7 linked regions of the Sus scrofa genome follow. The protein of the gene in region 7 interacts with the protein of the main gene of each other region in a pairwise test. Links are inferred from orthologs where the notes say so. Each region holds a gene or a part of one and is shown on either strand. Other genes may lie near its edges. The genes, in order: ZBTB8A, ZC2HC1C, PLA2G4A, ODC1, GAPDH, PIH1D3 and KAT5.

The links.
Region 1: the proteins of KAT5 (region 7) and ZBTB8A interact in binary tests that used the Homo sapiens proteins (3 or more experiments, as listed by UniProt). The link is inferred for Sus scrofa from reciprocal best matches to the Homo sapiens genes KAT5 and ZBTB8A.
Region 2: the proteins of KAT5 (region 7) and ZC2HC1C interact in binary tests that used the Homo sapiens proteins (3 or more experiments, as listed by UniProt). The link is inferred for Sus scrofa from reciprocal best matches to the Homo sapiens genes KAT5 and ZC2HC1C.
Region 3: the proteins of KAT5 (region 7) and PLA2G4A interact in a two-hybrid assay, tested with the Homo sapiens proteins (2 studies listed by BioGRID). The link is inferred for Sus scrofa from reciprocal best matches to the Homo sapiens genes KAT5 and PLA2G4A.
Region 4: the proteins of KAT5 (region 7) and ODC1 interact in binary tests that used the Homo sapiens proteins (3 or more experiments, as listed by UniProt). The two-hybrid records come from large-scale screens. The link is inferred for Sus scrofa from reciprocal best matches to the Homo sapiens genes KAT5 and ODC1.
Region 5: the proteins of KAT5 (region 7) and GAPDH interact in binary tests that used the Homo sapiens proteins (3 or more experiments, as listed by UniProt). The link is inferred for Sus scrofa from reciprocal best matches to the Homo sapiens genes KAT5 and GAPDH.
Region 6: the proteins of KAT5 (region 7) and PIH1D3 interact in binary tests that used the Homo sapiens proteins (3 or more experiments, as listed by UniProt). The two-hybrid records come from large-scale screens. The link is inferred for Sus scrofa from reciprocal best matches to the Homo sapiens genes KAT5 and DNAAF6.

The regions. Positions count from the first base shown.
Region 1 is NC_010448.4:88,920,935-88,925,045, reverse strand, and holds the start of ZBTB8A (zinc finger and BTB domain-containing protein 8A), read right to left. Parts: upstream 2,801-4,111; 5' UTR 1,841-2,800; intron 1-1,840. UniProt on the Homo sapiens protein: May be involved in transcriptional regulation.
Region 2 is NC_010449.5:98,264,028-98,268,051, reverse strand, and holds the start of ZC2HC1C (zinc finger C2HC domain-containing protein 1C), read right to left. Parts: upstream 2,801-4,024; 5' UTR 1,841-2,800; coding exon 530-1,840; intron 1-529. Other genes in the region: ACYP1 (acylphosphatase-1), read left to right, coding at 3,098-3,218.
Region 3 is NC_010451.4:127,852,400-127,856,488, forward strand, and holds the start of PLA2G4A (cytosolic phospholipase A2), read left to right. Parts: upstream 1-1,289; 5' UTR 1,290-1,319; intron 1,320-1,590; coding exon of another isoform or gene 1,591-1,674; intron 1,675-2,429; coding exon of another isoform or gene 2,430-2,611; intron 2,612-3,038; coding exon of another isoform or gene 3,039-3,182; intron 3,183-4,089. UniProt on the Homo sapiens protein: Has primarily calcium-dependent phospholipase and lysophospholipase activities, with a major role in membrane lipid remodeling and biosynthesis of lipid mediators of the inflammatory response.
Region 4 is NC_010445.4:126,085,860-126,089,812, reverse strand, and holds the start of ODC1 (ornithine decarboxylase), read right to left. Parts: upstream 2,801-3,953; 5' UTR 2,506-2,800; intron 257-2,505; 5' UTR 130-256; intron 51-129; 5' UTR 19-50; coding exon 1-18. UniProt on the Homo sapiens protein: Catalyzes the first and rate-limiting step of polyamine biosynthesis that converts ornithine into putrescine, which is the precursor for the polyamines, spermidine and spermine.
Region 5 is NC_010447.5:64,131,221-64,135,470, reverse strand, and holds the start of GAPDH (glyceraldehyde-3-phosphate dehydrogenase), read left to right. Parts: upstream 1-1,450; 5' UTR 1,451-1,532; intron 1,533-1,805; 5' UTR 1,806-1,823; coding exon 1,824-1,846; exon of another isoform or gene 1,847-1,939; coding exon of another isoform or gene 1,940-1,992; exon of another isoform or gene 1,993-3,620; coding exon 3,621-3,720; intron 3,721-3,799; coding exon 3,800-3,906; intron 3,907-4,027; coding exon 4,028-4,118; exon of another isoform or gene 4,119-4,244; coding exon 4,245-4,250. UniProt on the Homo sapiens protein: Has both glyceraldehyde-3-phosphate dehydrogenase and nitrosylase activities, thereby playing a role in glycolysis and nuclear functions, respectively.
Region 6 is NC_010461.5:87,657,148-87,661,258, reverse strand, and holds the start of PIH1D3 (protein PIH1D3), read right to left. Parts: upstream 2,801-4,111; 5' UTR 2,159-2,800; coding exon 2,132-2,158; intron 1-2,131. UniProt on the Homo sapiens protein: Plays a role in cytoplasmic pre-assembly of axonemal dynein.
Region 7 is NC_010444.4:6,566,525-6,569,219, forward strand, and holds part of KAT5 (histone acetyltransferase KAT5), read right to left. Parts: intron 965-2,695; coding exon 824-964; intron 748-823; coding exon 654-747; intron 1-653. UniProt on the Homo sapiens protein: Catalytic subunit of the NuA4 histone acetyltransferase complex, a multiprotein complex involved in transcriptional activation of select genes principally by acetylation of nucleosomal histones H2A and H4.

The sequences.
Region 1 (4,111 bases), on a different chromosome or scaffold from region 7:
TTTCCTGGGCTCAAATCACTATCAACAGCAAAGCTGGTAATTTCAAGGCCCTGAGAAAAGGTCTAGCAGAGTGCCTTCTTTACCGGGTCGGAAATTTACATGATGTGGAAAAGGTCAAGACGATGCCTCCTACTAACATTTTAGAGCCATGTCCGTTTAGCCAAGACCGGCAGGTTGGATCCTCACTTCCCATTAACATCTTGTGTGGTCAGGGGGCTCCTGGGAATAAAGACATCTGATCTCTGGTTATAGCAAAGGGCTCTTGCTCCAGGGGCCTCACAAACCCAGCCATACCCAGGGCTTGGGGAAGGTTACAGAAAGGAAGATTGAGCTGGGGTTCTTCTGCTGAGGATTTTAGATTTGCTTCTGATACAAATCAGTTAACGTTTTCAGAGCAGGGAAGCAATATGAGTTGCTTACTGGAAAGCTCTGGAGGTGACTTTAGGAGGAAATGAAGAGCTAGAGCAGGAGGCAAGGGCATTGGAAGGCTGCCACCTCTCACCTCCTGGCTTAAAGCTTAAATGCTTAATGTGTTTCCTCATCTAGAAAGTGAAATAATCCTCAGCCTGACTGGGTAGTTGTTTTATGTGATATAATTCATATAGGCGAAAGCACTCCATTTACTAAAGTTCTGCAAATAAAAACATTTATCAAGAATAGAAGTAAAACTGATGTGTGGAGTTTAAAAGCCCAATAGGTGAGAATCTGCGGCTTCCAAACACTCATTGGACTAAAACTAACACAATGTTACTTGTCTACCATATCTCAATTTAAAAGGAAAAAAAGGGGAGAAAAAAAAAAACAAAAAAACCACGCCTTTTAAAGATGTGGAGACTGGCTGGCTACTGGCACAATCAACAATAAATAAGCGCATGCGATGGAGAAGGGGCCAAACCACTAATTAACTTACAAGAGAGGCCGTCTGCATAGGTAGAAGGTGCGTACGTGTGGGTTCGGCATAAAATAATAATTATAGCTCAATATTTGTTAGGTATAGTAAGTCTGCCTTGGCTTCTCAGCCCGGATCTGTCACATCACCATATAAAACCAAAGGATGGAGGATGTACGCAGAAACTCGGACTACTGCCCAGCCAGCCACCTACCCGAGGAAGCGCCCGGAGCTGCAGGAGAGAAGCCCCGGACCTTGGCCACCCCACCCGGCGGGCCACCCATCACCCGCCGCGCAGCCCGAGCCCGGCTGGCTGCCGACCCTCCGGGAGTCCGCGCCGCCCGACGGCTCCAGACACGCCCGGCACGGTCCCCGCGCCGCCTTCCCGCCGCCGCCGCCAGGAGGCTCCGCGCGCCTTCCCGCCTTTCCCCGCGCCGCGGCCGGGCCAGGCCGGGCGGCCAGGCGGGCGCGGCGCTGGGCGGGCGCGGGCGGCGACGGCGCTGCCATTGTCCCGCAACCCCTCCCGGGCGCGCAGGCGGGCCGGGCCGGGCGGTTGGATGGGCGCCGGAGAGGCGGCCGCGCAGTCCGGGGACCGGTGCGCCCCGCCGCCGCCCGCCTCTCCCCCGCTGGCCGCCGCCCGGAGGCCGGGTCCTGGGCGCCGGCTGCCCGCGCCTCCTTTGTGACCGTCTCCAGCCCCTCGGAGCCGGCGCGCCACCGCCGCTGTGCCCGGGGCTGCAAATGGCGCCCGCTCGCCTCTGCGCCTCCCGCCGCTCTCTGGACCGGGAACGTCTGGGGGCGCCGCGCCGGGGCCGCATCCCGCTGTCGCCGCCGCCGCTGCCGCCCGGGGACCAGAGCCCGCGGCGCCTTCGCCCGCAGCTAGGCTCGTGGGCCCGTCCCGGGCAGCCCCGACGCCCCGCCCGCCCTTCGCCCGCGTCGCGCGCAGCCACTTACCGCGGGCCGCGGCGCACCGGCGGGGCGCGCGCGCGGGCTGGGGGAAGATTCCCGGTTCCCGGCAGGGGAAATACCCCCTTTTGAAGCCGTTCCTTTGCGCCCTAAAACAAGTAGCCCCAACGTGAGAGAAACAAAAGGTATTTGCTGACGTGGGCGTTGGACAGAAACGCCCGAGGGCTGGGGACACAATTAAAGGGGCAACGCACAGATTTCAGGCACCAACCAGCAGCTTCGCCCACTCCCCCTGCCCTTGCCTACACCCTGCTGCACCCTCCGGAGGCAATGGAGTGCCCAGATCCCCTAGCACTTGACTACAGAATCATTATTTAGTAAGGAGCTTAAATTTTAAATTGTACTTTACGTTGGGAAAGGCGCCTCCGGGAGGGCAGAAGGGCTGGATTTCTAGGATCTGGGGAATTTGGTTTAGGAAAGAGGGAGGGACTTAGGCGTGCCCACAATTACTGTATAAGTGCATGTGACATTATTGTACTTAAGTTTAGCAACGTCAAATGGAAGAGATCTGCACAGAATTTTTCCCTTTTTGAAGAACTCGTTTTAGTCAAGGGTAATCTTTTCTAAACCTCTGCAAGTCACAAGAATTTTCTTTGAAGAGGATAACCCAAGAAGCTGAGATAAGAAAAAATAATCCTTGGTCAAGTTCAGAGAAAATATAAAACTAGTAAGAATAGGAGGTTTTGTGTTGTCAAATACTAACATTGATGATACATCCCTAATGTTTAGAGTACACACGTCAGGTTCTATATCTGCTAACATCATAAATCACTGAATATTCATAGTTAGCAGGCAAACATTAATTCTACAAACTACGTTTTCCAGTTCCTTCTGCTGGGGTCAGGCATTGAATAATACTGTGATATAGCAAAACCGAAAAAAAGACTCAAAATTTTAAAACATTTAGTTTTTGTTGGATTTCTCTCTTTTGTCACACTCAGTCATACTGAACAGAATTTATTACTGTGGTTTCATCAATAGTTAGCTATGTGATTTGAGGATCATAGTCTCTACTAGAAGGATACAAAATATTCACAACTATCTCTTAATGTCACTTCTGTATTACTTGAGTTATTTTGCTATTTAGTTGCACCTTCTCACATTCTGAACAGGTAATTGAAAACATGTTTGAAAACCTGCTAGGTATCAGGAGATTTGGATGTACCCAAACTATTCTGCTAGCATCCCCATTGAGAATTCTCCCCCAAAGACCTGGGCATTGTTATCACAAAGGGTTTTATTTTAGCCTTAATTAATTAAAACATGCAAAAAAGTTCTACAAACTTGTTCCTCAAGAGAGCACATCCTTTGTTGCAAGGAAAAAGTAATGGAAGTTTTTTCCCTCAACTTCCCCCTCCTAGCTTCTGAAACTCAATTTATATGTTTGGCGAACTTCTTATGTTATGAATAATTGGTGGGAGATAGAATCTGCCTTCTGCAGCAGAATCTGGAAATGCCAGTGACTTGCTTTCCCAGAATCCCTTGTGGCTAAGGCAATGGTCATGGGCTACACTTTAATAATCAGAGGCACTTACTGGGGACTTTGATGAGGGAGCTATACCACCAAGAAGCAGGAACCTCTAAGAATCTTTTCTGGCAGTGGTGACTGTTGCAGCAAGATAGTGTCTCCAGGTGCCATAGAGGCAGTGCTGTTAGTGGCAGTATCCGCTGTCCAGCACTAGGGTTATCTGTGGTGCCAGCTGCCAGGTCTCTGCTGAGAGCAGTGTTGGTATCCTTACCAGGCCAGTTCTATGGTATGACTTGCTGTTGTTTCTACCTGGTTAGCATAGGCACCAAACCCTATGCTTTGCTCTTCCCATAATTCTGTAAACTTTTAATACATTCATTTCTGTTTAAATCAGCCAAGGCAAATGAGTCTGTGTCACTAAGAACCCTAGATAGTACAAAATGTTAAAAGGCATTTGGACATATGGCCTGGAACATAATAGATAAAATTATTTGAGGTAAAGTGTTGTCATCAATGTAGCTAGGAATTAAAACCATGGATATAGATAGAGAAAGAGAATATAAAATAAGAAAAGAATAAAGCATAGAACAAGCATCACCAGCTTCATCATCTAGTGGCTTCCTAGAGGAAAGTAAAATTGCAAGAATCTAAGAAGTGACTGGGATAGAAGGAAGAGATGTGGGATAGTGCGGTGTTATGGAAACTAGGAGGGGGGGAGTTTCCATTGTGGCTCAGCAGAAACAAACCCAACTAGTATCCATGAGGATGCAGGTTCGATCCCTGGCCTCGCT
Region 2 (4,024 bases), on a different chromosome or scaffold from region 7:
GGTACCTCATATATTTACTAAGAAGTTTCATCAAAGTTAATTGAAAAAGTATAGTTCTAGGAGTGGTAACAGGTCCTAATCTTGGGAGGTGGCAGGGTATATTGCAAAGTGTGAGGAATTCTCTGGGAGTGCTGAAACACTGCATAATTTTTTTCTTTATATTTTTCATGTCTTAAATTTTCTAAAATGTTTACTACTTTTATAATCAAAAGGACATATTTTTTAATTCTACATTTTGGAGTCATTCTGACCCAGATTTACATGCTGACTCTGCCATTAAAAGCTATTTGTGAACTCAGACAAGTTAACCTGAGACTAAATTTTGAAACTGATAAAGAGATACTGAAATCTTCCCAGGGTTGTGGTGACAATATCACAGTGACTGGCACACAGTAGTAATCAATAAATGTTAATTCTCGCTTTCTCCCCACATGACGCATGACACATGACATTTTTCTAAAGAAAACAGATGAGGATATAACAGGCTCACACCCCCATTCAAAGGCAAATCATTAAAGGCCCTTGTTACCTTGACTGAGGCCGATCCCTTCCAGTTCAAGTACTGCTCTAGTTCTGTGCCCTTAGCCCGGGCCCTGGAGGAGTCAAAGACTTTCCTCTTGGAACCCCGCATCCTGCTGCAGACATTGGAGTGTCTCTCAAGTCTGAGCAAGAGAAATTTCCGTCCACAGTGGCTGCACGCACCCAGTTCTGGCTCTTCAGTGGAACAGCTGGAACCCAAGGAGTCTGGGGCCCTAGACAAGCTAGAATGGCAGGTAGATCTCTGCAAAGCACTGGGTGGCATTTCTGAAGCCTGAGAAAACTTCTCCTTCAGCGGCCCTGAGACTCGGTCTCGGATTTGGTTATTGCTTGCCATCAGTCCTTCCCTTTTGAGCTTCTGAATTCCATGATCAGAGAACTGGAATGGACTAGAATTTTCTTGAGACCGTCCCCAAGTTTCATCGTCTCCTACATCTCTACTGAAGACCTCCGCAGACTTGAATTCTGGGGAGAAGATAGGTTTGTGTGAGGTGTTACTCTTGCCTTTAACTCTCCTCCTGGGTAGTGCCATTCTCCTCTGTAGCTCTCTTTTTTCATTTTCTTCAGCCTGTTCTTTCTTCTTCTGGATCCTTCTGAGTTCCTCCTCTGTCTTCTTCAGCTTTTCCCTCAGGAGAGTCTCTTTTCTTCGGATTTCCTCCTCTAAACTCTCCCCTGCAGCTTCTAGTCTTTGGATCTGCATCCATTCCATCCTGCTGGGGTTTGCCACAACCCTCTCCTCCTGAGTGGCAGCAACGGAACCAACCACAGATGAATTCACCCAGTTCCTTGAACCAAAACTGCTGTATGAGAGCTTTCTTGGCTGATGGGATCTTAGAGAGACATTCTGGTCCCCATCAGTGCCAGCCTCACCTGTACTACGGGACTTCCGGTGAAACACAGGTTTCAGTGGGTATGCTCGGTCCACCCCAACTCGCTTCTTTGTAAAGGGGATGAATTCCTGGATATTTGCTTTGGGATACTGGGATTGAGGGCCTGATGAGTAAAACAAACCTTTTCTCGAATCTTGCTGGCTTATTTCAGCACAGTGGGGATAGGAGCAGCTCCAGGCTTTCATGCTGGTGTTCCATTTGGGGTGAGTGTAGAGCTTATCTAGTGTCAGCTCTTTGTTGCTCAAAAGCTCCTGCTGGAAATTATTCCTCAGGTGCCCCATAGAAGACCGCTGGGAAGAGTCACCTTTTTCATAGGGATCTTGCTTAACTGAATGGAGCTCTGGAGCTTCCCTTTTATTATATGGGAACATAATGCCCACAGGCAGAGTCAGTGCCAACTGGAGGCCAGCCATTCAGGGCTTGGACAGAAGCCTAGGGGAGATTTAAACCAGACATATGTGAGGAGTTTGTCTGAGGTTCATCTCAGCTGTGAAAGTAAACTATTTCTACACTTGTCTTACCCACAGTTTCCCTTAGACTTTTTAGGGACAGTGCTGCTAGGTCTAGCATTTGATAAGCGCTTATTATGTCCTATGGGTGCTTATTAGGTCCTAAGGATAGAAAAAGGGAATGTGATACAGGTGTTCCTGCCACCTAGCTTTCCTTTATATATATCATACATAGTGATGCTCCTGCTTACACAGTATACTCCGTAGCAGGCGGAATGAGCTATTGGGCTGAAAGTCAGTTTTCAGTCAGGACAAGCAGCATCCCCTCGCCGGCTCCAGTTTCTTCACCAGTAAACTGAGGGGTTCACTTAAGAGTTAGATGGCTGGAACTTAGGGACCTTAGGACTCCAAGTCCCGCTCCACCATTTTACAGGTAGAAAACTTCAGCCTGTTGGTAAGCAACTGGCACAAACTGCTCTCAGGACTTCCCGCCTGCTGGAACCGTGCTGGACCCCAAAGTGCAGAGAGCCGGCTCAAGGCCTGCAGCAAGTGCCTGGCTGGCAAACCCTCTCGCAAGGTGTCCTCGCAGCGCAGATGGCGGAAGGTCGGTAACCTGAGAGGCGGAGAACACCTGATCTGGCGGGGTTCATATCCGGAACGCATAAGTCCTGTTCTGTCCTGGAGGGTCAGCCGGGTAGCCCCACTGGAAACTCTGCTTTAGGGACAAGTGCTCGCTCTTCAGTCTCTCGGGCCCTTGGGAGGTCGAGGTGCTGACCCCATATCTTCCCGCCCTTCCGCGTACCTGTTCTAGCAGACGGCTCCTGCTCAGGGGAAACCCCAGAATTTAGTTTTCCAGACCACACACCACCCTCCCAACCGCCCGCCGCCGTGCAGGCGCTGTTGGCGGGCCTCTGTTATTCCTGTTGCCTGGAGACCGAAGCGCATGCGCACCCAGTCCCGCCACGCCCCGAATTCCACCGGAGAAGCGTGCGCAGCCGCAGTCCGCACACCCGGGAGTCGCCCGGTCGCGGGCGCGGTCAACACGAGTGTCATTTGACCCGGTGTCCCACCAACTCTGCAGCTCCGTCCAGCCCTGCCCTTAGGGAACGGGAGAAGAGGGTGGGAGAGGCTTTTCTGGGGCTCCATCAAAGGGCTTGTATTTTTTTTTTTTTCTCAGAGCGATGCTTTCAGGTCCTGGGGTGTGTCCTTCTCTGGCAAAAGATGGAGCGCCTTAGATGTGTCCTCAAGACCTGCCGCAGGATTCCGGTGTCCGCCCTCTTAGCCGCCGTGGGCATACTGATAGCTTTTCTTAGCACGCTCGGCTGCTTTGTACGGGCCCCAGGTACGGCTGTATACTGTCCATGGCTTTCCTTGCAAATAGTTTGGAGCTTGCGTCAAATTTTAGCAAATCGGCTAGGTTTTGCTACGCGGTGTCTTTTGCAGTATCTTTCCGGGGACGTTTTCGTAGCCAATCTAATTATTTGGATATAATGTTTTACTCTCACGTGGTAACTCTGATCCTCTCTTCTTGCGGCCAAAGAGTGACTCAACCAAGTGTAATGATAATAAAGTTAACTACCAGATCCAAAATACTCAATATAACCTGGTTTCAACACTAAAGATGCTCTGTAACTTGTTAACATCAGAAGAAGGTTTGTTTGTCTTTATGCTTCAATTCATTTGTGTAAGCTACTTGGAACAAGCAGCTTACTTTTTTCCCTGTAACTGCTTAAAAGATTCATGCCCATGGAGAACAATACGGACAGCAGTGGTCGGTGTTAATACTTTAATATGTCATATTACAGTTTTTACATGTTACGAAGAAATTCCTTGGTGGCACTCCAAGGGCAGTACTTTTATGCCTTGTTTTCTTTTCTAATTGACTCTCCACTGCCTTCTCTATGTATGCATTTCCAGACATTTCCCACTCTTCTCAAGGCCCTAATTATCTCAGCATGGGGCTTGTCTGTCATCAACTCCCTAAGCTCCCCTCCAGTCTGGCAGAATTTCCCAGGGTGCCTCCCTCCATTTTAACTTCTTTCGCTCCTGTTTCTGAGGAAGAAGAATCTTTTGTCTTTCCATGAAGTCTCTCTCTCTCTTTTGTTTTGTTTTGTTTTGTCTTTTTAGGGCTGCATACGCAGCACATGG
Region 3 (4,089 bases), on a different chromosome or scaffold from region 7:
AGTTCTTCAAATGATCGATAGGGCTTCAGCAGAAAGCGCTTGCGGTATTCATTAAAAGACTGGTATCTCATCTCTCTGCTCTGGTCGATTGAGGCCTTTGATACTTTTTGTACTGCAGCTGGAAGATTCCTACCACCAGCAACCTGTGGAAATGAAATGAAATTGTAGAACATGAGTTTTAGGTATATTTAAGATTTCTATTTTAAAAGCATCCCTTGGGTACAAAGAAGGTAAGACTCAGCTCCCAGCTGAGACCTAAACTGTTCAAGAATATTTCTGTCATCTAGATTATAGTGATAACATTTACTATAACCGAAATTATATATTAGACTTCTCATTTTAAGGGAAGAATTCTACTAGCAAATAATTACTGTTTTAATACGTTTACGAAAAATCATTTCTACAGCAGAAATTCCAGTTACTGACTAAGCCCTTTGTTTCGTTTTATAATAATAATGCTTACCCTGCCAGCAATTTGCCTGCTAAATGATTCAACAAATTGGGTGATGCCATGTTCCAGTAAGATAGAGTTATTGTAGAGAAACTGTTGATAGTTGTACTCGTGGCCATCAATCTGGAAGGCGTCAGGCAGAAGGGGATGCCAGTGGTAGAGCGTGTTAAACTCAGCAGCAATACGGTTTTGGTATTGGAATTGCTGGTTGAAAAGCAGCTCTGGGTCAAACTTCAGTTTGAAGTGGTAGCCACTCAGGTGTTGTACATAGTCTTCGATCACAATCTTAATCGTTTCTCCTATGGGCACAACATTAACAAATTTAGAACACAAATTCTTTCTACTCACAAACTTTCAAGCAACCCAAATGCAATTTTGTTAATTTGCCATATTCTATTGATTTCTGTGTCTTCCTTTTTTACCATCAAAACAAAAGGTCGGTGATATTCCTAATCAAGCCCAGGGGTTGAATTACTATGAAGCATGTGATTTTACATGCACCACATACCCCCAGTATTTCTGGAAACTGCAAAGAAACAGTTTCGTTTTCCCTGGAGAAGAGCGTTATTGAGAAGAGTTGTTCTTGCGCACCTATCAGTATCAGCCTGCTCGTCTGGAACAGCCGTTCATCGTCCCATTCCGGGTGCTCCTGTTTAAGCACATCGCACACTCTATTATGTTCCCGCAGCCAGATTGTGGCGTACATCATCAGACCAGGCACCAGACCAAAGACCTCATGCCCCACGGCAAAGCGGAGGTGTTCAGGAGTGTGAGGCGGGTAGATCATCTCGACTTGAGTGTCTTTGGCTGTCGGAGGATACATCTCACCATCAATTATCTAAAAACAACGGCAAAAAATGAAAAAGAGGTAAGAAACAAATTCCAATCGTTAATGATGCTGAATATAGTTAAGTGGTAAGTCATCACTTTTTTCATATTTATTTATATATGTGTGTGTATACCTTTTTTCAGATTCTTTTCCATTCTAGGTTATTATAAGATATTGAATATAGTTCCCTGTGCTATATACCAGATCCTTGTTTACCTCTTTTATATATATTAGTGTGTATCTCTTAAACCCAAATTACCAATTTAAACCTCCCCCGATATCTAATTCTTAATAGTTTAGTGGAACAAACCTGATACTTCATTTTTCCATCCTTGAAAAGGCGCAGTTTATGCTGTCTCTCCAAAGATTCACCATAAACATGACTTAAGTCCACCTAGAAGATTATGAAAAATTTTAAATTTGTTGCTGTTAAAGCTGTTCTTATGTAAAATGCCTGTGAGGTATTTATAAATAATTTGATGATTTAATTTGCTTTAAAAATTTTCAATAACATTTTTTTCACAGCCACAAAATAATGAATTAACTTGTTTACCCACTGAAGCTACAAACCTATATGTCTCTTGTGTTTTAAGATATCAGTGTTTCATGTGGAGATTAGATCATATGCTTTGCTGTAATTATGTAGTATTTCTTTTTAAAAGCATAGAAAATATATTATTGATATAAAATTCTTATGATACATTGAAGCTATGTCACTGAAATCCAAAGGATAGTAATACTAAAGAAAAAAACCTAACCTAATAATATTTAAGGCAGCATAATCAGGGTGCAAATGTTTTTGAAGACAGCTTCTGTAGTGCCAATATTTTAAACTAAAAATATACGGGCCAAACTACAAATAGTTTTTATATTTGTACATATGTGTGTAAATATGTATACATGTGTGCATATATATTTTCACTAAACCAGTGAATTAAAATGGAAACTCCATTAAGATTTTTATAGATAGAACATTTCAAAAAGAAGGTGAATTATCTGGTATGGCAAATATATAAGTATATATATAAAATATATAAGTATATCTATAAGTATATATTGGCAAATATAAATAAATAATAAATAAATAATGGCCTTTAATGTTCACACTTCATTATGATTGACTAAAATTCTGATTTAACTCTGTCTTACCCCATGGCCCTGTCCTTTGGTGAAAGCTGGTCCTCGCTTCTGATCTGTCTTGAAAAACTGATGGGTGAAGTGCTGGGCAAAGAATGCAAACATCATGTTTGTGCCCTGGGGATCAGGGATGAACTTTCTTCTTAGAAGTAATTTTTCCACAACTTCCTTTGAATCGGGAAGCTCTTTCCTCCCTGAAAAATGAGAAGGCCAAGATAGGAATCCATCTCTATATTCAAAGAAGCAGAGAGTGGCTGTCAATCTGCCAGGATCTTCTTTACTTAAGAAGAATACGGTTGTGAATAGGATCATAATATCAATGGAAGTTCTAAGATACAGGGGAACAACTTCTTATTGAATACTTTAATCTCTTTTGTTTAACTAGCATTAATTCAGTTTGGATGAAAGAATTTGAAAACATCATGACATTATACCAAAATGCCCATTCACTTTCATGGAGTAGTTTACAGAGATTCACAAAGAACTCTCCAAAGATATCCATAAGAAAGGAAAAATAGATGTTTTTCTTAATAAATAAATGACAGTTTACAGTCAAATTTTCTAGGTTGCATCCAATCCCAGTTACACTCAATACATCTCTACCTGCTTCCTCTCACTCACCTTTCACACCCATGGGTGTTGGGCAGTCATCAGGCACAGGAGGAAGAGCTCTGGTATAATAGGAGAGGTTAGAAAAGGCTTCCCAGCTTTTATAGCCATAGTGCATATTGTAAGTTGGTGGGCTATCAATCAGATGTGATCTCGCTGAAATTTTCAAGGAAAAAAAAAGAGGTATTATTTGTTCCTGTGCACAAGACAAATATGTTTATTTTTATTGTAAACTGTGCAAAGTGGCACTAGAGAGTGACTTTAATTCCAACAAAGATACTGTATTTTAAAATAATTACACTTTAGGAGTTCCCATCATGGCTCAGCGGAAATGAATCTGACTAGTATCCATGAGGACGCAGGTTGGATCCCTGGCCTCGCTCGGTGGGTTAAGGATCCAGCATTGCCCTGAGCTGTGGTGTAGGTCGCAGACGTAGCTTGCTTGGATCTGGTGTTGCTGTGGCTGTGGCATAGGCCAGCAGGTACAGCTCCAATTCGATCCCTAGCCTGGGAACCTCCATGTGCTGCAGGCGCAGCCCTAGAAAAAGACAAAAAATAATAATAAAATAAAATAATTACATTTTAAAGTCTAACTGCCAAAATGTATCTTTGATAAAGTGTATATACTTTACCAAAAACGTTATGGTCTAGCCATCTTGATTTTTCAAATAACCATCCACTTATTGCTCAAGAGGCCTATGAGAGGAATGTCTGGGCTTGGCCCTCACTTTATTTACAAAAATTAAGAAAAAAATTTTTTTAGCCATGCCTCTGGCATGGGAAACTTCTTGGGCCAGGGATCCTGCCAAGCCACAGCAGTGACAATGCTGTATCCTTAACTACTAGGCCACTAGGGAACTCCAGGACTCACTTTAGAAATAAAGTTATCTTCTTGTTTACCCTCATACAAATTATTCCTTTATTTCATTTTATTTTATTTTTGATTTTTAAGGCCACACCCGCAGCATGTGGAAGTTCCCAGGCGAGAGGTCGATAGAAGCTACAGCTGCTGGCCTACACCACAGCCAGAGCAATGCACGACCTGAGCCACATTTGTGACCTA
Region 4 (3,953 bases), on a different chromosome or scaffold from region 7:
GTTACTAAAGCTGTTCATGGCTTCTTGATATCTTTCTGAAACACAACAAACTGCACAGGGCAGACAAACTTACTTGGAAGTCCTAGCACGACTTAGTAATTCTTAGCAAGATAAACCATGAACACTTACACGGAAAACAAAAGATGGAATTTAAATTATGCCAGCTCTTCACAAAGGTAATTCTCCAGGAATCCCTGTCCCGCTGAAGACTCGGGTGCCCTTGGTGCAGCAGTGGGAATGTCCTGCTGAGCAGAATCTGAACACAGCAAATTGGAATATAGTCAGGTACGTGTACACACACACACACACACTCAAGCACCCTCCAGAGAGAGCTCACTTGCTGAGGTTGGGAATCCCACCATTCCTATTGGTGTCCTCCCATGATTTCATAAACCTCTACGGAATGAGACACCACAGGATCAGCACTAGACTTCTGGACACTCAAGTTCCATATATAGTAGTCTCCCTCAAAAAAGGTATTTCAAATATTCCTGCTAAAAATGCAGAATGCACGTTTCAGAAACGTTTCTGTACTGAAGTTCACTGGTAGGGAAACTTCTATGATGCTTAGTTTACCTCACTTCAGTGTTATTCTTCTTTTAGAAGCTTAAAATAGCATTACAGGGATTCTCGAAAGTTGCTGTATAAACATCTTGCACATTCCCAAGTCCTACATAGGCATCATCACTGTCATTTGCTGACGGCTCTTGCGGTCTCCTGAGAATTGTGCTCATTGTCATGCCAGGCATGTATTTTTTTAAATTGCAATCTTCAAATCAACATTACTGTAATATAGTTACCACATCTGACCAGAAATCAGTATTCTTAAACCAGCGCTGCCTACCCCATCAGCCATTCTGGCAATCTCAACTGCCCTTCCAGGTGCTCTAACATTTGCTTGGCTATTAATGATTACCACCTGGGAATGATTTTTGACAAACTTTACAGAAAAATAAAAGCAAGGTAATGAATTAGGAATAAGCAAAAATAAAGCGCGTTTAACAGTCAGGGCTGCTGTCCTCGGCCTTCATGAAATTTCACAGCAGTTATCTTAAAATTATTGATGGTACCCCATTTCTGCCAGGGAGGACTCCTTTGACACTGTGCAACCCGCTTCAGTGCCTGCAGCCTATGGGCAGAGGCCAGGCAATGGTTCGGGGCCACAGTTTGCTCTGGCATGGGACACTATGAGAGGCCCAGGGGTACGGGCCTGCCATAAATCCAAACCCATGCTTGGCAGAACGTGTATTCTTAATCTAATGTGACTTTCGGGCACTGTCAAACCGCCTATGCTGCCGGTAAACTCCTGTGTCTCTCAGAACAGCACGTAAGTAGGCTCCAAGGTGGCAGACTGGGTTATTTAGGGTTAACTATTTTTAAGGCAATATTGAGGCTTAAACTTAGAAGCTTTTGTTTCTTTCAAATACAGCACTATTACACATTGGGCTTTCCTGTATCTTTCAAAGCTTTATTTCAGTTACTTTCAATACAGAGGAACTTCACCCAAGAACACCCTTTGGTGTTCCTATCTGTTACTTAACAGTGACTCAGTGAACACAAGACAGCGCTTTTCTACTATGAAATTCTTTACTGCCAATGGGCTAAAAGGAAGCCGAGCACTAATTCGATCAGCCACTGAAGTTATCCAAATTATGGCCAATTTTAGGTCTGAATAAAGTCAACACCTCCGTCTTCCCCAGACGTTTCTAAGAGGTTCTGCGCCCCACACTTGCCCCCATCATTTCAGATTTTCCATAAGCCTTTTTTGAAAACCCTGGGACCGGCTCCTATGTCTGAGCCTGCTCGCCTGAACTGCGATCTCCACAATCGAGGACTTTCTTAAATCACCAAGTCATTCAAAGATTCCTTAAGCAATTCTACGCCATGGCAGGATCAGTATTATCAGTTAGATTATCTCAGCTCCAGCGACTCGAGTGGGTTTTTACATTGCGACATTTGCTCAGGATACGGAGCAAAACCAAAAGTTAAAAAAAGAAAAAAAGAGAATTCAGGGCAACCTGGCAGAACGGGACGTCTCTTCCTTATAAAAGTGAGCACGAGCGATGAGTGAAACGGACCTGCGCCGGCTCGCCTCCTACCTCTCCTGCACCTGTTACCGGATTACCACGTGGGTTTAAAAAAAAAAAAAATAGCGGTTGAAGGAACGACCGAGCTTTCTCAACAGCTTCCGGCTCAGAAATCCTGACTTACGTGGTTGGGAGGCGAACCCGGGGCCGCCGGTTCCAGCCCCCGGCAGCCCTAAGCCGGGACGGCGGCCGCCGAGCGCGCAGGGGGCCGGGGGTCGGCGCCCCGCTTCACCCGGGACGCCAGGGCCGGGGGCGCAGCGGCCCACTAAGGTCGGGGCCCGGCGGCCGGCTGGCGACCACGTTGTCCCCGCAGCTCCAGGCGCAGGGTCTGCCCGGCCTCCGGCCCGGCCCGGGCGCCGGGACACGTGGCCGTCCCTCCCCACCCCCTCCCCGCCGCCGCCGGGTGCGCCCCTCTCACCTTAGAGCGCACGGGCGCCGCGGGCCGACCCCATGGAGACGCGACGCCGCCGCCGAGCGCGCAGGACCGCCGGCCGCCCCGCCGCTGTCCCCGCCGCCCCCGTCAGCCGCCCGCCCGGCCGCCCGCCGCCTCGCTCCCTCCCGCGGAGGACCGCCGGCCCGAGGTGGCGCCGGAGCGCTGGCAGAGGGGCAGCGGCGGCGGAGGCTGAGGGGACTGACAAAGCCCGACGCGCCGCCGCTCCGCTACTTATAGCGCCGCGCGTGTCGTCATGGAGACGCACCAGCTCAAACCAGCCGCGATCGGTTCCGTCCGGGCGTCCTCCCAGGGAGGGGGCGGGGCGCAGGGGCGGGGGGCGCCGGCCGGCCGACGTCAGCGCCGCCGAGCGCCGCCCGCCCCGCCCACCCCTCGGGGCCCTGCGGCAGGCCGGCGCACGCGCACACGCTCCGGGCCGGGCTCCACCGGCGCGCCCTCCGGCGCGGGCGCCCCGCCCTCCGCCCGCGGCCGGGAGGTGCCGCCTCCGAACTGCAGGCTCGGCTCCTGACCGCCGCGGAGTTTCAGGCTCTGCGCCGCGCAGCTCTCTTCTTCCGCCGGGCATTAAACGCCTCTTGCCCTTGGGCGGGGAAAGGAGATCGCGGGCGCGAGCGGGCCACGTGGACCCCACCTGGCGGACTCTGGCCCCTTCTGCCCGGCGTCTCCATTCCTACGGGAGGGACCTGCAGGTGGTTCCGGCGCAATTCCACCCGACAAAGAAACGACAAAGAAACAGGCAGAACCGCAGAGGGCAGAAAGGTCACTGGGCACGTTAGTGGCACCGCTGCGGGCAGCTCCCCAGTCCTGGCGCCTGTGAATGGAGTCCATCCAGGTGTCCATCTAGGTAGCAAACAGCGATGAACAGGCGAAGGCACATGTTCGGCTTATTAAGCCGAAGACTCCTCTAAAGAATTAGGAGAAGGGGTACGAAGTAACAGGTCTGCCAGCCAGCAGGTGATCACAGCCCCGTACTGTATTGGATGGCGCTGATCAATGACTTGGGTCCGCTGGGCTTGGCACCACTTGGAGAGTTATGTAAGTCCCAACATACCCGCAGTGTCTACACCAGGGATGCACACGGCAAAAGCTGTATAAGGAATTGAGAGTCCCCAAGAGTGTAGCCAAGGCTCTGGTGGAGCTCTGGCCTCTCCCTGGGGCAGGCCACCCCAGTACCAGCCCGAGAGAGGGACTTGGGGCACTTCTTTTTTCCCTTGCATTTTTGCCATTCCTTCCCTTGTTGACAAAATCCAACAACAGACAGTTATGCCCCAACCTAGGGTGTGACGGACCTGAGGGCTGCGGGTGGGGACTAAGAACTAGTCCCAGCCACACAGTCGATGCAGGGGGCCCTGGAGGAGCTTGCTGCTGGAGCCCTGGCCCCAATTTATTGTGTGATCTTGGGTAAATTGCCTCTCTTC
Region 5 (4,250 bases), on a different chromosome or scaffold from region 7:
CAGGCTTGAGTCGGGGTGCGGGGCAGCGTGCTCTCTGCCTTTTAAGCAAAGGTTATCATCCTGCGGGCTAAACTTAGCCACAGGCTTTTCAGCTGGAAAAGGGGGCTGGTCTCAGGTTACGCTGGGCCAGCAAAGAGGCCCCAATTCCTTCCACCAGCACCTGCTAATGGGCAACGTCCATTCCACCCTCCCCCCACCTTCCCTGAACCTTCAACACTTCAAGTCCTCAGAACCAACCCATCTTTCATCCTCTGCTCACAAACCTGGCCCAGCCCCAGCTTCTGAGGGACTGGTCTTGGAGAAGAATGGATTTCCTCCTCCACATCACGTCTGGGAAGGGGCTAGGGGCCCTTGTCCCCACCCTGTGTCCAAGACCTCCCAATCTTTTCCCTCTTATGGACACCTCACCCTGCCCCCAACATCCCCTGGGCGCAGCCAGTGAAAGGGAGGCCCTGACTGCAGGGCTGGCCTGCACGTCCCAGGATGGGGAGGGACTTCCGCTCTCACGTCCTGCTCTGCCCAGGGCTGGATGGGGTGAAAGGGACATTGTCTCCCAGCCCGGGCCGCTCAGCCCTCAAATTTCCCAGGAGCAACTTTGTGGGAGACCTCTGAGCCTCTACCTGGCCAGCCCCCCAAAGCGATCCTGTCCCCTCGCTGAGGCCCCAGCCAGCCAGGGCCTGGGGGAGAGCAGCTGGTGCACACAGGTCCTGGTTTGTCTGCTCGATTCTCAGATGTCCAGGCTGCCTGTCCTGCAGGGCATCGTGACCTTCAGTGCAGAAACTTCCCTCTCAGGCCTCCTTCCGAGCCTCCTTCCTCTCCAGGCCTCCCACTGGCCAGGGCCAGCCGCGGTCCCCAGCCCGGGGAGGCCAGGAGCCAAGAGAAGGGGAGGGGGGAAAGGGGAAGGGGGCTGGAGAGGGCCTTGCTGGAGGCCCCTCCCGGGCCTTTTCCTCTGTAGTTCCTGGGTCACTACCGAAGAGCCTCGAGAAGTTCCTCAATCTTCCCGCTTCTCAGCTTTTGAAGGGGGGGGGGTAGGGGAGACTGCAGCCGCGAGCTGCGAGCCGCGCCCCCAACCCCGGGTTCCGCTCCAATTTCCCATCCCACTGGCTCCCCATATCCTCCCGTTACATCCCTGCAGCAACTTTAACGTCCCTGGCTCCTTGGGTGTCCTCAGTTTTCGCCAGGGCCCCCTCCTCCTAGTCCACTGCCCCCTGCAGTACAACCCCAACCGGGCCAGGCAGCATCACCGGTCCCCTCCCCCTCTCCGTCCTCAGCCCACTTGTGTGGCGCGTGCACATTGGCAGAACCAGGCGGGTCCAAAGGAAAAAAAAAGAAGAAGTGGGGGTCGGCTACTCGCGACTTTACGGGCGCACGTAGCTCAGGCCTCCGCTGCTGGAGCTAGGACTGGGCGAGGCGAGCCCACGTCACCCCGCCCCCGCCCCGCCCCCTGCCCTATAAATTCCGGCTGCAGCCTTCCCCTGCGCTCTCTGCTCCTCCCCGTTCGACAGACAGCCGTGTGTTCCGTGCATTGCCAGGTAAAGCCTGGCGGAGTGGAGCCACAAGGGTTCGAGGACTGGTCCGAAAGGGACCGGGGGCCGTGCGCGGTCTGGGAGTGTGGGTGCGGGGCCCCGGCTGGAGCCGGAGTTGTGGCTGCGCCGGGCCGGGCCCCTGCATTGCGGGTTGAGGGGGAGGAAGGACGTGCAGAAGAGCAGAGCGAGGATGGAGGCCTGGGGGAGGGGCGGGGAGGGCACCGTCGGGCTCCAGCCGCTTTGCCCCGCGATCTAATGTTCTCTTTCCTCTGCCGGCAGCCGCGTCCCTGAGACACGATGGTGAAGGTCGGAGTGAACGGGTGAGTTAGGGGGTGGGGCAGGGTGGGGCAGTAAGTACTGCAGCCCCCACCAAATTGCGTCCGCAGGTCTCGCCCTACCGGGTCTGTGCAAGCATGTGGGGGACTTGGATGGGGTGGTCGTACCCCACCCCCAAGGAGAACTCAAGGTCAGCGCTCGGACCTGGAGGAGGCCCTCGCAAGGCCTCGTGTCCCCCATCCCTGGCTGTTGCGCGTTCTGTAACTCCGCCTCTGCGGAGCCTTCCTCTTCACCTGCCGCAGATACACAGCCCTGGAGTCTCCAATTCTTGCTTTGGCCCCATCCCCTAATCCCCCAGCTGGGGCTCTTTCTTTCCTTTCGCGCCCTGCGGGGTCACGTGAAGGGGAGGAGCCCATCCCCCCAGCCGCAACCAGTGCCCCCAGCCGGGCAGCCCCGGGATGCAGGAGGCACAGCTGCTGTGCAGAACCAGCTGGGAGGGGGCATCTGCGGTAACCTAGCCGCCATGTTGCAACTAGGAAGGAAATGAATGAACCGCCGTTAGGAAATCTTCCTGAGTCCTTCAATCTTTCTCCTTACTTGCCCATGACTAAGCCTTCTACCCCTGCCTCGTGGGGTGGAGTCTCCTTTATCCGGTAACCCAGGTCCGGCCACGCTTTCCCCTTCTTAGTCAGCTGGACCTCAGCTCTTAGCAAACTAACCCTAGAGCATCCCTTCAAGCCCCAGCCAGATTCCCCCCCCCGGGGATGAGGGGATGCTTTTTCTGGATGGTTCTCTGATGAATCAAAAACGGGGCTTTATGGGGGTGGTCTTGGGTTGTTTCCGGGTTGTTTCCCTTCTCTTTCTCCGGAGAGGTGTGGTAGCGTTGGCTTGGTGCCATGCCGGGGGAGCTGAGTCATGGGTACTTAGAAATTTTCCACAAAATGGCTCCCGGAGCCGGCGGAGCCGCAGCCCCTGTCTCTGCATCAGTGCTCCTTGAAGCTGCTTCCTTCCATCCATGCCTAGGGTTGACCCCACCCTAAAGGCCAAGCTGTAAAGGTCACCAGGAGGATTAGATGTCCGTGAGCCTCGGGAATCCTGCCCTTCTCCCCATCCCCTCTTCCAGAAACCAGATCCCCACTCCACCCTAAGCTGGGGTTAAATATAGCTGCCTGACCTTTCTGCAGCTGGGGGCCTGGGCTTCTCCCTCTCCTTCCCCCCCGCTCCCCACACGTCTATTGCTCCCACTCCTGATTTTGGGAAAAGAGCTAACAAAGACAGGTTCCTAACAAATCAGAAGCCCGGGATTCTGGGTTTGAGAAACGGCTTTCCCTTTTGTAGGAGGGACTTGGGGAAGGGGGGGGGTTTCCCTGGCCAGTTAACTTCTGACCTTTGCTCTTGCCCTTTGAGCTGGGTGATGCCAAGTGTGCAAGATTTTGCTCCCTAGAGGGTGTGGCCTGAAGCTGGCCAGATAGGAACAAGCATTTACCGACAGTGGGCCTGAGGAATGCCATGTGCCGGCCATGTGCCCAGACTGTAGGTGGCAGCAGCAGTGCACCACCCTGTCACCCCTTAACAGATTTCAGATGACCAGGGGGTGTGGGCCTGTCTCGGAGCTTCATCACCTCTTGGGCAGGATGGGAGCTTTTCACTTTGTGGCTGTGCTGGGAAGCCAGGCTGGTCTGGCAGGGTTGTGCGAGGAGGAGGAAATGAGATCTCCTGGTAGGAAAGTGCCCGCGCTGACAGCGGGCGCGTGGGCCTGGGACTGCTTACATCTCCAGGAGAGCTCACTCCTCCCTCCTCGCCTCTTGTCCCCCTCAGATTTGGCCGCATCGGGCGCCTGGTCACCAGGGCTGCTTTTAACTCTGGCAAAGTGGACATTGTCGCCATCAATGACCCCTTCATTGACCTCCACTACATGGTGAGTGGCCCCCGTGGCGGGGGCGGGGACAGAGCCTGCCAGGGCGCAGCCCCTTGATGCCCTCCCTCGTCCCCCCCAGGTCTACATGTTCCAGTATGATTCCACCCACGGCAAGTTCCACGGCACAGTCAAGGCGGAGAACGGGAAGCTTGTCATCAATGGAAAGGCCATCACCATCTTCCAGGAGTAAGTATGGAAGACGGAACCGGAAGAGCTTTGCCTTGGAGGAGGTGGTGCTGGGACGGGGTGACCACCTTGGGTCTGTGGTCCCCCGCGCCCCTGAACTTTGTCCTGTCTTCCCTTCTAGGCGAGATCCCGCCAACATCAAATGGGGTGATGCTGGTGCTACGTATGTTGTGGAGTCCACTGGTGTCTTCACGACCATGGAGAAGGCCGGGGTGAGCGGCAGGGAACCGAAAGAGGAGGGGACCTAACCGCGGGGTTGGTGTAGCGGGGAGACTGGGGGAGGCTGACTTGGACCAGGAAAGGGGAAGCCCGGGTGTCTGACTGCTCCTCTGCTGCAGGCTCAC
Region 6 (4,111 bases), on a different chromosome or scaffold from region 7:
ATAAAGGCCCTTGAGGATATAATCCCAATTTTCTGCCCTTCTTTCCTATTATTCTCCTACATGTAAACAGCAGTCCGTTAAAAACTGAACTGCTAATTAAACAGACCCTATAATCTCCTGCCTTTTTACTTTGGAATATATTCTTCCTTTTGCTTAGACTATCCAGGTAACATAGCGTAGTGATTAAAAAAAAAAAAGATTCTAGGGAGTTCCCATTGCGGCTCAGCAGATTAAGAACCCGACTGGTATCCTTGAGGATGTTGGTTCCATCCCTGGCCTCACTCAGTGGGTTAAGGATCCAGCGTTGCTGCAAGCTGTAACAAGCTGCAGTGTAGGTCACAGATGTGGTTCTGATCTGTGTTGCTGTGGCTGTGACATAGGCCTGGAGCTGCAGCTCTTCTTCCACCCCTAGCCTAGGAACTTCTATATGTGGCAGGTGCAGCCCTAAAAAGAAAAAAAGAAAGAAAGAAAGATAAGATTCTGGAGCCACACTGCTGTTTTGCATCTGACATTGCAATTTAAATAGGGCAAGAATAAATTTAAAGCAAATTTAAGTGAGAATTTCATTAAAAAATATATTGCTAAATCTTTTATTTGGGATTTGGTTACTTAGAAAATAAGTTCTCTAGCACCTCCCTTTCTTTTTCTCTCACTCTCTTTTGCTAGGCCCATTCCAAAGGCAGCATTTTCTAGACAGTGCCTTTGATTTTCCCACACCGTCCTGAGCCCCTAGGGCCTTCATAGGTAGAGGTGTGATTGGGGGAATTTCTCTTGATACTAGCCACAATGCCCTAAAAAGGCAGCCGCTTCAGAACCAGTCCTTTGCCAAAACATTGGAGACTTTTAGGGACTAAACAAGCTCAACCAGGATGGCTCCAGACCCATGGCACTGAAGCAATAGTATCAATAAACTGAGATTAAGTCAGACTCTGGTTGAGAGGACAGGGGTCATGCTTTCTGTTTATTTTTGCCTCCATCCACAGTGTCAACAGAATGCTCTTAGACTTGAACTAATTGGAGAGAAGTCTAGCTTAAATGAGTGAAAACTCTGAATTATACACTATTCAAAAAGAAATGATATTTTATTTATTAATTTATTTATTTTGCAAGCAAGCGAAGTCTTTATTATAGGAAAGCAAGCAGCTCCCAGGACAGCTGGGAGGGGGAGAAGAGCCCCCCCCCATTGCCTTATAGGGTTTTTTTAATCCCTTAAAGATGGGGGGGTATAGATGATATTTTATTGATTCAAGTTTATATAGCAAATAAAATCAGGGTAGTAAAGAATCACCAAAGAGTTTCATTTGGGGAACTTGTTTAATAGGAAAACACATGTCCCTATGTAGACTACTGACTGTTTATAGCTGAATGATTTCAAAGTACCAAAAATCCATTTACTGTCCTAAATAAAATTGGCATTTCTTCTGCAATTTTATTTACATAATGTCTTATTTAACAATTCCTGTATTAAAATTCTTTTGGAAACACAAAAGTAAACATCATCTCTGCCTATTTCTGAGTTAAATGATAATATACTGGTTAATTGGGTTTTTTTTTTTTTTTTTTACATTTTTGACAACTCTGCCCATCAATGATTCCCTGCCTATTAAACCTAATTCATTTTGACTTTGTTTTTACAAAACCCCAAATAATTCCTTTTTTAGGGTCTCTAAATTTCACTGCCAGCAAATCTACTAAGTCATAAATAACCATGGGGACTTAGAGTTTCTGTTACAAATTTAAAGTATATTTAATGGAAGATGATTTTTGAAAGTACCTGGAATATTTCATAAACCTAAAGGTCAAGAAATGAGCCTCTTTTGATTTAATATTTCCTCAATCCATTATTCTTTATTTTAGCCAAACTTCATACACTTGTAATTTTTGTTTGCTTGTTTGTCTCATTCCCATAATCCACCTCTATCTACAAAGGAATTGAAAAAGCACATTTTCTCCAGTGCTTTGAATTTTCCTCCCCAAGTCCATAGGCTTGTTTTTATTTCTTTACAAAATAGCCTCTGTTCTGAATCCTTTCCAGAAGCTCTTAGGGGAAAGGACCCTCACCTCAGTGCTCAAACTCTGTTCTCTCCCCTCACCCCGCCCCCCACTTTTTTTTTTGGTCACAGTTCCTTACCTTTTGACAGGTACAGTCCAACGGCATATAATACTTACTCTCCCAATCAGCTACTTGCTGAGTAGCGGGTTTGGTAGATACAAGTAGCCCTTGCACACCACGCTCCAGCCCACTAAGTGCAGCCTGACTTTTTCACTCCTCAACGGACCTGACCAACGTCCGTTGGAACTCTCAGGTCGCAACGTTCACGTTTCTCGAACACAAGACATTGTCCACGTACCACAAGCCAGTTTTTTTTCAGTCTGAACAGCGTTATACTCCCTAAAAATATGTATCCCAACCAAGGCATGCTGGTCGGTGTACATGTAAAACCAACTCGGAGCCCCCAGATACACTTACAAGGAAACAGTTTTCATTCTCAAATTAGCGTTACGAGCAGTGTCTGTGTCTAAAGAAGCCTTAGCATGTTCATTTTGGCCTTCTGACATTCCATCCGCATCCCTTCCTTGTCTGGTAAAACGGCCCCATCTTTCACTCATATCCTGAATAGCCTGAGTTTTATTAAAATTGAATCTTGCTTTTAGCGTCTAGGGCAGGGGGATTTAGGGAACGGCTCTGTTCTGTCTGAAACTTGCGGCTTTTTGTGGGTATTTCTCAGAGCCGTTAAGTATCTAGAGTTCTCCCTAGTTTCTCTAGTAGCCGCGGCATCTGAGGGGCCCTTCTTTTCACCCTCCTAAGATTCGGGTTTCCTCACCTGGGTCAGTTTTTGGGTCGCTGTGTAGGCTTGGAAAATAAACGGAGAGCTCTGCGTCCCCCTGTTGCCTGGGTAACAACTTTGTTTCTGAACTCCCCCACCCCCACCTCCGCGTTCCCGCTTGACTTTCCTGACCAATCGTAGAAGAGTCTCCTTTGAAATTGCAGGAGAATTAACGAATCAGAGAGCGTGCCAGTCGGGGTCCAAGCCGCCCTTACCAGTTAACTAGGTCGGCCCCCTTTAAGCCTCTGTCTCAGTTAGCGTCGCTCCTGCGGGGACGCGTCCACTGTGGAGGCCAGTTCGTTCTCGCCGGAGAAGGCCCTGGTCTGCCTCTCTGGCCTCTCCGCAGTCTCGGCGGCTACCTATCGATTTACCTTGGGGCGCCGCCGCCAAGGTAAGTTTGCGGGATTTTCGATTGTCCGGGCATCAGCCGGCTCCCTCATCGTTACTTTTTTTTCCTGCACGTGAATTCCAGATCGGACAACTCCTGTCGCCGATCCGGAGCAGCGGGGGTGGAAGGGTAGGCTTGGTGGCCCTGGGGGTTGAGGAGATTTTGCTGCGGCACCACACGCCCTCCCCACGCCCCCTTTCCGCGCGGTGACAGAGACACGTGTAGTGGGTTCGGTCTCGGCTTAGCGTTTGTGCGTGTGAATTGTGTGTGCGTGTGTATGGTGGAATCGCGCTTTTTCCCCCTCTGCTGTGGGCAAGACTTCTGGGTTCGGAGCCCCAGAGGGAGAATCCCTTCGGCTTGCCACGAAGCTCCTGCGAGGTAGCGTCCGGTGGTACGCGTCGCTCCCACTCTCGGGAATGTCGCCGGACCCGGTGCCTGGCTTTTCCCGCCTAGGAGTGGAGCGATGCAAGCGCGCCGCAGGTTTGCCACTGCTTGACAATCGGAGTGCTTGCACTTCTAGAGGTACAGTTGTGACCCTAGTTTCTCAGGAATTCCGTGGTTTGGTTTTAAACAAAAGGGAAAAAGAAGAGATGGCTTAACGAGTATTTGGAGTATTTGGAACTGATTAGCTGTGTTCAATAGTGGGTCCCTTCAAATATTATTTGTGCAGTAAGCAAGGAGAGATAGGATGGTTTTAGTGGATGGTTAATTTTGGCCCCAGGGCTTGGAATTCGGTTATGAATTAACTAAATTGCGTTCCTTCTTTCTGCTTTATGGTGAAGGGGCTAGTAGAGCTTGAGGAATTTGTCCATTCTACTTGTTATTACCGTAGTCAACAAAAAATTAAGGTTGAATATTTAAGTTATTGGCTAAAATTGTGGCTTTGGGGGGAAAT
Region 7 (2,695 bases):
CCCCATCATGGCATCTTTCTACCAATAAATTTCTCAAAGAGACCAGGACTGGGATCAAGCCAAGCCTCCAAATGACTATACAGCTTGGGCTTCCCTCCCATCTCCCAGGTCAGAGGCTGGTGATCCCAGGGTTCAGACAATGGTGAGCTGAGTGGAATGAGGCTAAGAGACGACTCGTACGATGAGGGGCAGAGGCCAGATCCCCGTGAGTCAGTGCTCACAGCTGCCTGCTAAGCTCACAGCCCTTTTACAGGACACCTGCTGCCCCGCGAGGCTCAAGACAAGTGGGGAAATGCACCACAGGAACTTGGGTGACCGCGCAGGACCGGAGAGTTGAGCAAGAAGAGCGGCTCACTCGGCTTCTGCCCTGGCCCTGGGCAGGAGCACATGAGTAAGATCTGGGGAAAGTGCTTAGAACCTTGGCCGAAGAACCGGGAGGGGCTAAGAACCTGGTCCAGGCAAGCAGGGCAGTCACCCTGGGACGGAGAGAACCTTGGGAGAGTCCCATCTTTTATTTCTGGCCAGTTCCCCTGGTGACTGGGCTGCCCAGCCGGGGCTGAGGCCCAGCACTGGACATCTGTCTAAGACACGGACGGGGCCTGGGCCTGCCGGATCCCACCCCCACCCAGCGCCCCAGCAGCACGGGTACTCACTGAACTCGATCAGCAGCTTGCCGTAGCCCCGGCGCTGGTAGGGAGGCAGGGTCAGGATGCAGGCCACGTTGTAGTCTTCCGTGGATTCCTTTTCCTGGAAAGGGGGCAGGGTGTGAAGGGAGGGACCCAGCTGAGGGCAGGACGGAGGCACAGCCCTGGGGAGCACTCACCTTGGAGAAGTAACCCACAATGTGGAAGCCCTTGCAGTCATACTCCGTCATGACGTAGAAGAGGAAGGGGTCCGTGTCATAGTACAGCGTCTTGTGGTCGAGGAAACACTTGGCCAGAAGACACAGGTTCTGAGAGTAACTCTGCAAAGGGGAAGGTCTGTCACCACCTTGGTCCTCCGCCTTGAGCATGGCTGTCCCCCAGGCTGACAGAGGATGAGCCTTCCTGGACCCCGACCCAGTCCACGGGTCAGGCCGTCCCTGTGCCCAGGCTTCCTCAGTGTCGAGGAGTCTGCGTACCGGCTCCGTGATGACGTCCAAGCTCCGCCTCCCTGGTGAGCTGGGTGCACTCCCCCTGCTCCCCACGCCTCGGTGTGACTCTGGCTTTGGAGGCGACCAGCGCCCTCTGCCACAGTTAACGGCGGTCAGCACACTTGTGCGTCGCAGTAAAGACCGACCAGGGCTTACAAGAGGAACTCTTGCTTGTGTGACAGTCTTAGGACTCTGGCTGTCAAAAAACACCACACTGCTCTCTCACCTACAGTTACACCTCCTGAGAACTGAACAGCTCTTCTACAAGAGGAGCAAGAAATTCCGGAATTTAACAAAATAACAGCCTTAGATGTTCCCTTGTGCAGCAGGTTAAGGAAGTGGAGTTGCCCCAGCTGTGATGCAAGTCGCCGCTGTAGCTGGGGTTCAATCCCTGGACTAGGAACTTTCACATGCCAACAACAACAAAAACAAAACCAGCCTTAAAGGCCACCCCAGCAAAATAATTATTCTCGTAACTTTACTTCTCACAACCTTCCTGCATTTCGGATGTGGTTTTTTGTCTTTTTAGGGCTACACCCATGGCATAATGGAAGTTCCCAGGCTAGGATTTCAATCAGAGTGCCAGCTGTTGGCCTATGCCACAGCCACAGCCACACCAGATCCAAGCCACTTACCCCACAGCTCATAGCAACGGGGCCAGGGATTGAACCCACATCCTCATGGATACTAGTTAGGCTGTTACTCCTAGCCACCACTCCTCAAATACAGCTTTTTAAGCACTGGCTGGGCAGGGCCACCTGAATACTCAAACCCACACTTCATACACTTAACTGTGTTTAAAGCAGCATCTTCCTCCCAAGCTCCCGTAGCACCCAAGTGAGCGCTCCCCTCTGCCAGTCAGGGTGACTGCCTCTCCCTCCCCACTCGTGAGGCCCCGGAACGGAGGCATTTCACTCCAGAAGGTCCCGCCAGGTTACTCCCTTCATCCTCCCCACAGCCAGACGAAGGCAGGTTAGACGCCCCAAACCTGCGGTGTCCCCCACTTCCTCCCCACCCTCACCTCATCCTGTCTGCCCTTCAGCTGGAAGGAAGGACCCTCACCTTCCACACTGTCTCTGCATAGGTGGACCCCATTTATTGCATTTCAAAGATAATGCACCTTTTTTTTTTTTTTTTTTTTTACGAGTTAGAGTTTATGCTAACCCTGGATTGAGCAAGTCTATCAGCGCTATTTTTCCACCAGCATTTGCTCATTTCATGTCTCTCTATCACATTTCAGTAATTCTCGGAATGTTCCAAACTCTCGTTGTCCGTTATAGGGATGTGTGAACAGTGACTCTCACTGTCATCACTGTCATTATTTTCTTAGACACTCCTGTATCCCTTTGTGTGTATGTGTGTGTGTGTCTTTTTGCCTTTTCTAGGGCTGCTTCCTGTGGCATATGGAAGTTCTCAGGCTAGGGGTCTAATCAGAGCCGTAGCCGCCGGCCTACACCAGAGCCACAGCAAGGCGGGATCCGAGCCGCGTCTGCGACCTATAACACAGCTCACAGCAACGCCGGATCCTTAACCCACTGTGCAAGGGCAGGGACCGAACCCACA